Linked DNA regions of Saccharomyces cerevisiae S288C. The gene in region 2 interacts genetically with the main gene of each other region. Each region holds a gene or a part of one and is shown on either strand. Other genes may lie near its edges.

Region 1 (4,398 bases), on a different chromosome or scaffold from region 2:
CGTTATGGGTTTAGTGAGGGTTGGTAACGAACCGTAGCGCGGTGTAGTATGCTGTGAATAATTGTACTTTAGCATAGTTAACATTACAATCTTTGTACGTTTATATAACAAATATGATAGAGTATGAGAAAAATTAAATGATACATTTTGAGGTTAAGGTTGAAACTATTATATGGAAGAAAGGTGGAATATAGTTAGGGCCAAAATGACACTATAAATGACATGATGTGAGCCTTAGTAAGGTGAGAGCTACGCTTCCTGGTTTAAATCAAAACCGAGAGCCCAAAATATTATCGGTATCGACGTAACATTTCAATGTCATTCAAGCTTAAAGGAGATCAGCGCAAATGCGTGAAGTCTTAGTCATTGTAAATGCGATTTTTCTTTGTTGAAGGTGAAGTCGGAAAATTCACATGACTGCAAAAAAATCCTAGTCTACAGTATGGTAACCAAAAAATGCTATATATACATATGTCCTGCATGAAAGAGAGGGCGAGTTTTCAGTTTGACAAGCTTTCTCTTATTGCTGCTATTCCTCTCTTTTGTTTGCCATTTTCAAAATTTGTTTTGTCTAACCATTCTTCAAAGGTTTTACGAATGCGTAACCATTCTTTATCGATTATTGAAAACCATTGAGTGTCGCGAGTGCGACCCTTATATACCACCACTTGTCGAAACGTGCCTTCATACTTAAAGCCTAAGCGCATCGCTGCCCTCCTTGACGGCCCATTTAAACTATCACACTTCCACTCATATCTCCTGTATTGAAGATCATCAAATACATACTTCATTAACAGAAATTGAGCTTCAGTTGCAATAATCGTCTTCTGTAATTCTGGTGAAAAAACAACATATCCAACTTCTAGTGAACCGTTGGCTTCATCGATTCTTATTAAGCACAATGTACCAACGGCACGTTCAGTCTCTTTATTAATAATTGCGAAAGGCACAGTATCTTTAGTTTCATTGAGTTCCTTAATGAATTCTAGATATTCCTCCAAGTTAGTGAATGGTCCCGCAGGTAAATACGTCCATAATTTTTGGCCTGCCTCACTATAGGCACTAAAAAGTTCCGAACCATGTCTTTCTCTATCTAGAGGTTCTAGTCTGCAAGTGTTACCTTTCAATACAACTTTCTCTGGGAAGGCCCTTGTTGTCCAACCTTCGACGTCAGCACCAACTTCTTGCCCAAATATATTTAAATTCGCCATAATTGTTTCTACTGAAGGGCATTATTTCCAGGTTCAGAGGCGGGAAAATTCTTGCAAGGCGTCCTCCCATGCTATTTTTATATCATTGTTGATTGTTTATCAACCTCTTATCAACCTCCTATCAACCTTTGAAGAATGGCTCAAAAAAAAAACAACCTTCCATTATGAACCAATAAACAGAGCAAATATCACGTGCACAAAGAACTACGAACTTTTTGACTTTCACACTGGCGATGATCCAAGACGTATTACAGTACAAGAGATCTGCTTTATTGTAAGCCCAGTAAACAGCTTCTTATAGACTCTGCAAATATAGGTACAGAGTTTGCATAATTTTCTAATATACACTTATGCCTTATGATAATCCCAATTTTGAGAAGGAGACAAATTCAGCGAGTGGCGTATAAGTGCGTGCGCTATTGAAACAAATCTCACATAAATGTGTTTATGATCAGCAATAACCTTATCGATGCAACAGAAAATGTGATTCGCGAAATTTGCATCTTTCTTTTCAAAAAATATTTCAAAAACAAATTGCCAAGAGATGATGAAAACAAATCACTCAATTCAAGTTAAATAAGAACTCGTGTATATATAGAAAATATGAGGAAATGTACTCCATTTCAACTGCTTGACTTTAAAATGATGCTGGCTCATGAGAAGCCTCCAAGAAATAATATCGGTGTTACTATTCCAATACTTTCGATCCGCTCTGTGCTAAATAGGCAAACTCAAAAGTAATAAATACATACACATATTACGGAGATTTGTGCCTTTAAGGAATATAAATTATAATTATCTGCTAGTTTACATTTTAATGGCTCCAAACATTTATTTTCTAGAAGTGCTCCTTAATAAACAATAATCTTAAAAGAATAATTATGGAGCGTGTCCGGTTGTAATTAATACTCAGTAATTATATATAATTTGAGAATTATGCTCGTGTGCATTTTCTTCCAATATATTATACTCTGAACCATGTCGTGCTGTGTGCATAAAATTGCTCGATGAAAATCTTAACCCACCTTTTAGGTTGAAAAAAACATGTTCACTTTTTCACTAAAGACTTGTTACCACGGATTGTGCTTCTTTAACGTATGGCCATAGCTCAACGTTCAACGAAGCAAACCACATAGTTTTTTTTAAAGATAAAAGGCGATAGAAAAAGCAGCTAAAAAACCATTCACAGTCAAGTCCATCGTAGAAAAACTCTTCATTATTCCAGACTTTTTTCTCAAACAAATACCTATTCATTTTCTTTGCAATTTCGTCCCATCCATTCGCACCGCTTTCTTGCTCATTTATAATAGTTGACAAGAACTGCATCTTGTGTTCCATTTTAACGGATAAAACAATCATTCCCATATTTTGGAAATCTCTCGTCATGATAAAAAACATTACTACCGGAAACAAGAAACGTGATATAAGGTCAACATTTCCAGACGTGTAGACAATTAAAAAATAATAAAGGAAGACTTGTAAACACCGCAGCTTGAAAATCCTTTTAAGAATCCAGGTAAGCTTAAATCGGTAAGCTTCTTTGGGAAGTTTAGCATCTTCTAGGCCAACAGGGCTCCATGATTTTTCAGTATTAAACAACTTCCATTGTTTTTCAACTTCTGTAAAATAAACTCCCAATGCTTCTTCAATGTAAGAGACGGAATCCTTAAATGACTTAACCTTGGCAGCTTCGTCTTTTTTCAAAGAGAAGGGTTCGAGAAGGGTTGTTCTGAACGCTTCTTGGCAGCCCATGGCATTGAAGAAAAAGTACCTAGTATTCCAAGCCTTATTTTCATATAAGTACGAATTTAGATTTGCTGCAACGATTTCCCAATTATGAGTATCCAAACTTGGTGCGTTTTTAGTAATATCTTTGCAAAACTGAGTGAGTTGTTTCGATAAGGAGCGCTTACGAGAAGGTTCACGAATAACAAGGAGAAATATTGGTCCCAAAACCAGGACAAGAAGTGAAACTATAAATTGGTAAACCCAATTGTTGGAAAGTTTCCATCAGATGCTAAGTGGTAGCCATAATAGCATCCAGATGCGAAACGCTAAAGACTTGTAAATTTCATAACAAAACCAGGTCAATTCGTTTCGGAAAACATCCTGGGGTAAAACAGTCTTTTGGGATTCGAGCTGTTTGAAGGATAACACATCTACGCTTTTCTCATCTTTGACTTCATTCTCTTTCATTTGGTAGTGAGATGGCAGTTCGAGGTTTTTTTATTCAAAGTAATAACTTCTTCCTTTTCGCTTTTATGTAGCAGAAAAAAAAGCCGCCGAAGCGCGCGCGTTCGTGCAATCTCATGATAGAAAAAGGGCAACAATGTTGGGCTATTTTAGACAAAGAAACTCAGCTATTCGAAAAGGGCATCCATTTCATTTCCGGTTTTCTATCTAAGTTACTCGATAGTCGTAATAATACTTTTATAAAACTTTAATGCGGGTACTTTGAGAGCGTGTCATAACTTTGGCTTACGTTTTAAGGTGCGACCGGCAATGTCACTGCTCGCACAGCAGTTGCCGCCTGAAATGAAACACATATTTAAGCGTAGATTGCCTGTGAGAAAACTGTGTAAACATATAGTAGAAAATAGACGTAGCTGTCACAAATATTTACACGGGAAAGAGTCTGGCCTACGAGTATCTTACATGAAGATTCATAGAACCAATTTATTTCCCTATATTGATAACCTTTCGATACCATTTTAATGCCTTCTCCTTATGTTTGTTGTCACTGTAAAACGGATCAAAGCAAAAACTTAGAGGTATGGTGGTACTCAGATCATGCATGACCTCTGGGTAATTACCACTTCTCCCGCTTGTTTTGAGATTCTGTATATAAATATTGCAAACAAAAGGATAGAGCGCAAATGACAGACCTTATAGTATAAATTGTTCGTTTAATCATGCGTCAGTGTGAGATTCCATGACAATAGTATGGGAAGATAGGGCGAAGTGAAAATATCTGTATGACTATAGAGTGCAGTTATATTACAATATATTAAATAGAGCATAGTGGTACGACGATATTAAGGAACTTTTACATTAATGACGTCATGGTAGTGCTCATACTTCAAGTCAAAGTGTTTATTTCGTAAAGTTGAAAGGTAAAATATTTTTATGTTTAGGTGATTTTAGTGGTAATTTTTCTGTAATATTGACATAAGTTTATAAAAATTGA
Region 2 (5,630 bases):
GAATGCATAAAAGCAAATAGGATTCGTTACAACTGCTGCAGGACTCTTTAGGACTGCATCAAGGTAAGCCTCGCTGCACCTAAACGCAAAATGTGGTTGTAACCTTTTTAATTTTTTTCTTGAACTTGTTGAGTCGTAATAAATCGTTTCTGGGAAGTGGAAGGTAATAATGTAATGGAATCGGCGTTACTCGCATGTGCAGATATCAGCGACAAAAAGTGTTGTAGGGACGTTTCGATACCAAAATTTCCTAAATACAGCGCAGGAACATCACTACGCTAAACAAATCGTAGCGCATACATCTGATCGAAAAAAGACAGTTCCCAAAACAATGACATATGAAGAGACCAGCATCAAAATTTTCATCATTAACAGCATGGCTAAAAGTTATTGTTTAATATACCCATACCTGATTGACGAACCAAGAAATGCCTTATCACTATTTATTTTTGGCACTCTTCACCTACCTGGCCACGTCCAATGTTGTTTCAGGAAGTACACAAGCATGCCTGCCAGTGGGCCCGAGGAAAAATGGGATGAATGTCAACTTTTATAAATACTCATTACTGGATTCAACAACGTATTCCTACCCGCAATATATGACTTCTGGATATGCCTCGAATTGGAATTAGGTTCCGTTGGCGGACAGACGGATTTCTCAATTGACTACGATCTTTCTTGTGTTATCTCTTCAGGAACTTTTAAATGTGCTCAATCAGATGCTTATGGAAACTGGGGATGCAGAGGTCATAGTGAATGTTCAAAATAGCCAAGAAAGACCTATTGGAGTACTGATTTACTTGGTTTCTTACTATCCCAAAAAACGCTACTCTAGAAATGACAGGTTACTTTTTACCACCACAAACAAGTTCTTACACGTTCAGGTTTGCTAAGGTCGATGACTCTGCAATTCTATCAGTCGGTGGTAACGTTGCGTTCGAATGTTGTGCACAAGAACAACCTCCAATTACATCGACGGATTTTACAATCAATGGTATTAAGCCATGGCAAGGAAGTTTGCCTGATAACATCGGAGGGACTGTCTACATGTATGCAGGCTACTATTATCCGCTGAAGGTTGTTTACTCCAATGCCGTTTCCTGGGGCACGCTTCCAATTAGCGTGGAATTGCCTGATGGTACTACTGTTAGTGATGACTTTGAAGGGTACGTTTACTCTTTTGACGATGATTTAAGTCAGTCAAATTGTACTATCCCTGATCCTTCAAAACATACTACTAGCATCGTCACAACTACTACCGAACTGTGGACTGGTACTTTTACTTCTACATCTACTGAAATGACCACCGTCACCGGTACTAATGGTCAACCAACTGACGAAACCGTTATTGTTGCCAAAGCTCCAACCACTGCCACCTCATCCAGTTTGTCATCATCTTCTTCAGAACAAATCACCAGCTCTATCACGTCTTAGCATCCAATTATTACTCCATTCTATCGCAGCAATGGAACTTCTGTAGTTTCTTCCTCAGTCATGTCTTCCTCGGTCATTTCTTCTTCTGCAACGACCTCCACTTCTATATTCTCTGAATCATCTAAATCATCCGTCATTCAAACCAGTAGTTCCACCTCTGGTTCTTCTGAGAGCGAAACAATCTTAGTGATTGCTGGCATGTCATTAGCGACAAGACGCTTATTACCGTAGTAGCCCCCCAAGGCAAACATCTCTTTATCAGTAATATCCAAAGCTGTTCAACTTCTCGAATTGGCCCAGGAAAAGAGCATTGGGGCGGCAACTAACTCTGGCATACTTACAGTTTCTGCTCTTGACAGCGCTAAAAAAGGGCTTGTTTTGTAATGCCCGGTTCGCAATTCTACAAGTACCACGCACTAGCTGCTAAAAGTGTCTAACCTTGCGAACAAATCTGGACTTTCTTATGAGAATCCCATCGTCAAGAAACAAAATTATACAGACAGGCGTAAATGTAGCTCGTAAGCGCCTGATCAAGTAAGCCAAATGCGCTAACTTGAGGAAATATAGCCATCTAAATCTCTGCAACATGCCAATTCGCACGTGACTTGAAACTATGGAAAGTGTCTAGAAGATTACCAAGAACCACGTTATTTGAGAGAGGATGGCAAGGTGACGACAATCACACCAAGACCACATTTTGGGTGCGCCTGGAAGCAAGACCTGAGAAACTGGGCCAAAATATTCAAACCAAGCATAAGATAGTTGGAGGTAGGAATACACTATCTAATCTGTGCTGATGAAATGCTGGCGAAAACGGGCGATGTAGTGGTACAGAAGGTGCCGGTTATCCGTTTGTCCGTTTTTCTTCATTTTTTTTTTGTTTTTCCCTTTTGTCTTTTGCACCGCTTATATATGGGTATGAAACAAGTTCAAGAATTTATAATGGAACCCAAAGGTTCAGTCTTTGTAGTTCGAGCGACATTGCGCGTTTCCTTAGAAAACGCTGGAAAGATATTCTTTAACGAGACGGAGTAATTCTCGTCAGGAATAGGATGTTGATTGATTTTTGCTGTAGTTATATAGCAGGGACCCACGGAAGAGAGCGAGCGCCTTCTTTCACAGGGACTTTTGTCAGCCACGTCTCCGGGGAAAACAATTGCCGTCCGCGTCGCAGTGAGATTACGCAGCCGTGCGCTTCAGGGACAGAAAAGAAGCATTTCGCGGCTACGGAGAAACCGTGCACTAACTCTCTCGAGGGTAGCCGCAAAGATTTCTTGTCTCTTCCATTAGGACATAGCTATCTTTTTCTTTTCTGTTTTTGGCGTATGATCTGTTCTGAGCCAAAGTTATAGATCATTGCTTGAATAAGCACCTCACAGAGTAGGGATTGTATAGAAAGTAGCTGAGCGTCTGCCCACGTAACAAACAATCTTGCCCCTTCCCCGCTCTTGTTTTCGCGTGCCTCTTCTACAATAATCTGGCCAGGCTGAATCGCGTTCTGCTGCTGCTGCTGCTATTGTTATTGTTGTTGTTGTTGTTTTGGCCAATTGCTTATGTGTTGGTCTGCAAATTAGCACCTCGTTCCCTGTTGGCAAACGCGCGCGTACAAGCCTTACAGGGCTTGAGAATGTTCTTCGTAGAAATGCATGCACAAAAATTCTGATCTAGCACACCATCGGTCTCTGTAGCTTCGGGCTCTATAGCTATGGGTTAGGAGTCCGTGAGTAGTAACAAGAAGAAGTATATAAAAAGCAGGTAAATCGTACTTCAATATGCTTCATTGTCACTGGATCGTCATATTCACTCTTGTTCTCATAATAGCAGTCCAAGTTTTCATCTTTGCAAGCTTTACTATTTCTTTCTTTTTATTGGTAAACTCTCGCCCATTACAAAAAAAAAAGAGATGTTCAATCGTTTTAACAAATTCCAAGCTGCTGTCGCTTTGGCCCTACTCTCTCGCGGCGCTCTCGGTGACTCTTACACCAATAGCACCTCCTCCGCAGACTTGAGTTCTATCACTTCCGTCTCGTCAGCTAGTGCAAGTGCCACCGCTTCCGACTCACTTTCTTCCAGTGACGGTACCGTTTATTTGCCATCCACAACAATTAGCGGTGATCTCACAGTTACTGGTAAAGTAATTGCAACCGAGGCCGTGGAAGTCGCTGCCGGTGGTAAGTTGACTTTACTTGACGGTGAAAAATACGTCTTCTCATCTGATCTAAAAGTTCACGGTGATTTGGTTGTCGAAAAGTCTGAAGCAAGCTACGAAGGTACCGCGTTCGACGTTTCTGGTGAGACTTTTGAAGTTTCCGGTAACTTCAGTGCTGAAGAAACTGGCGCTGTCTCCGCATCTATCTATTCATTCACACCTAGCTCGTTCAAGAGCAGCGGTGACATTTCTTTGAGTTTGTCAAAGGCCAAGAAGGGTGAAGTCACCTTTTCTCCATACTCTAACGCTGGTACCTTTTCTTTGTCAAATGCTATTCTCAACGGTGGTTCTGTTTCCGGTTTGTAACGTAGAGACGACGATGAAGGCTCTGTAAATAACGGTGAAATCAACCTAGACAATGGAAGTACCTATGTTATCGTTGAACCAGTTTCTGGAAACGGTACAATCAACATCGTCTCTGGTAACCTATACTTGCACTACCCTGACACCTTTACTGGCCAAACTGTTGTATTCAAGGGTGAAGGTGTTCTTGCCGTTGACCCAACCGAAACCAACGCCACTCCTATTCCTGTTGTTGGCTACACCGGTAAGAACCAAATTGCCATTACCGCCGACATCACTGCTCTTTCTTACGACGGTACTACTGGTGTCTTAACTGCAACCCAAGGTAACAGACAATTCTCTTTTGAAATTGGTACTGGATTCTCTAGTTCTGGCTTCAGTGTCTCCGAAGGAATCTTCGCAGGCGCCTACTCATATTACCTAAACTATGACGGTGTCATCGCTACAAGCGCCGCATCCACATCCGCATCCACTACCTCTGGTGTTGTCTCTACTGCCACTGGTTCAGTCACTTTATCCTCTAACGCTTCTACCACCGTCTCTTCTACGATCTCTTCTAGCGCCCCAGACTCAATAATTCCTTCATCTAGCGCCTCTATCTCTGGTGTCTCAAACTCCACTACAGCATCTGGTTCAATCGCTTCTACTGCTTCCACCGCTTCCACTACTTCTACTGCATCCGCTGCATCCGCCACCAGCTTCACCTCAGGTTCCGCTTCTGTCTACACTACTACATTAACTTACTTGAATGCCACAAGTACAGTCGTGGTTTCCTGTTCAGAAACAACCGACGCTAGCGGTAACATTTACACCATTACCACAACTGTCCCATGCTCATCTACCACTGCCACCATCACATCTTGTGACGAAAACGGATGCCATGTTCCAGCACCAACTGCTACCGACGCAACTGCAACCGTTTCCTCCAAGTCATACACCACTGTTACTGTTACTCACTGTGACAACAATGGCTGTAACACCAAGACTGTCACTTCTGAATGTTCTAAAGAAACTGCAGCAACCACCATTTCTCCAAAATCATACACTACTGTTACCGTTACTCACTGTGACGACAACGGCTGTAACACCAAGACTGTCACTTCCGAGGCTTCCAAACAAACATCATTGGCCACTAGCACAGTCACCAAGTCTGCTGCTCCAACTTCTCATACTGCTGCTTCCAGCACCTTCACTGGTATTGTCGTTCAATCCGAAGGTATGGCTGCTGGTTTGAGAACCAATGCTTTAAGTACTTTGGCAGGTATTTTCATCCTTGCTTTTTTTTAAAATGAGTGCGTAACCGTACTTTCCTAAAAATAACTAAGTAGAAAGTATTTTAATATATAAACGTCAGTGTAAACATTCAAGTGATTTTAACTTTACGCGGTTGAAGAATGCTGTGTTCGAACTATAAAGCGTCAGAAAAGATGGTTTAGCGAAGGCACCATTATGAAGATAGACACATTCTTCTTTTTTTTTTTTTTTTTTTTTTTTTTTTTTTTTTTTCATTTACTTTTATTTCGCGCGGTCGGTAAATTTTTCGTGGGTTTCTTTGAATCTATTAGCCGACATAAGAATAATGCATAAATAATATTTTTAATGTCTTCCTATGCCCAAAAGAAGAAGTCTTGAAGTTGCCGCACATGGAAATCACATGACCATGGCTTGGCCCTTCGTTTTAAAT

The links. Genes that interact genetically often act in the same process or in processes that back each other up.
Region 1: mutations in YAR066W (region 2) and YIR042C together harm fitness more than expected from each alone (negative genetic interaction), as found in Saccharomyces cerevisiae (one large-scale study listed by BioGRID).

What each region holds. Positions count from the first base shown.
Region 1 is NC_001141.2:434,773-439,170, forward strand, and holds YIR042C (uncharacterized protein), read right to left. Parts: upstream 1,212-4,398; coding exon 501-1,211; downstream 1-500.
Region 2 is NC_001133.9:217,712-223,341, forward strand, and holds YAR066W (uncharacterized protein), read left to right. Parts: upstream 1-3,337; coding exon 3,338-3,949; downstream 3,950-5,630. Other genes in the region: YAR064W (uncharacterized protein), read left to right, coding at 2,487-2,786; YAR068W (uncharacterized protein), read left to right, coding at 4,695-5,180.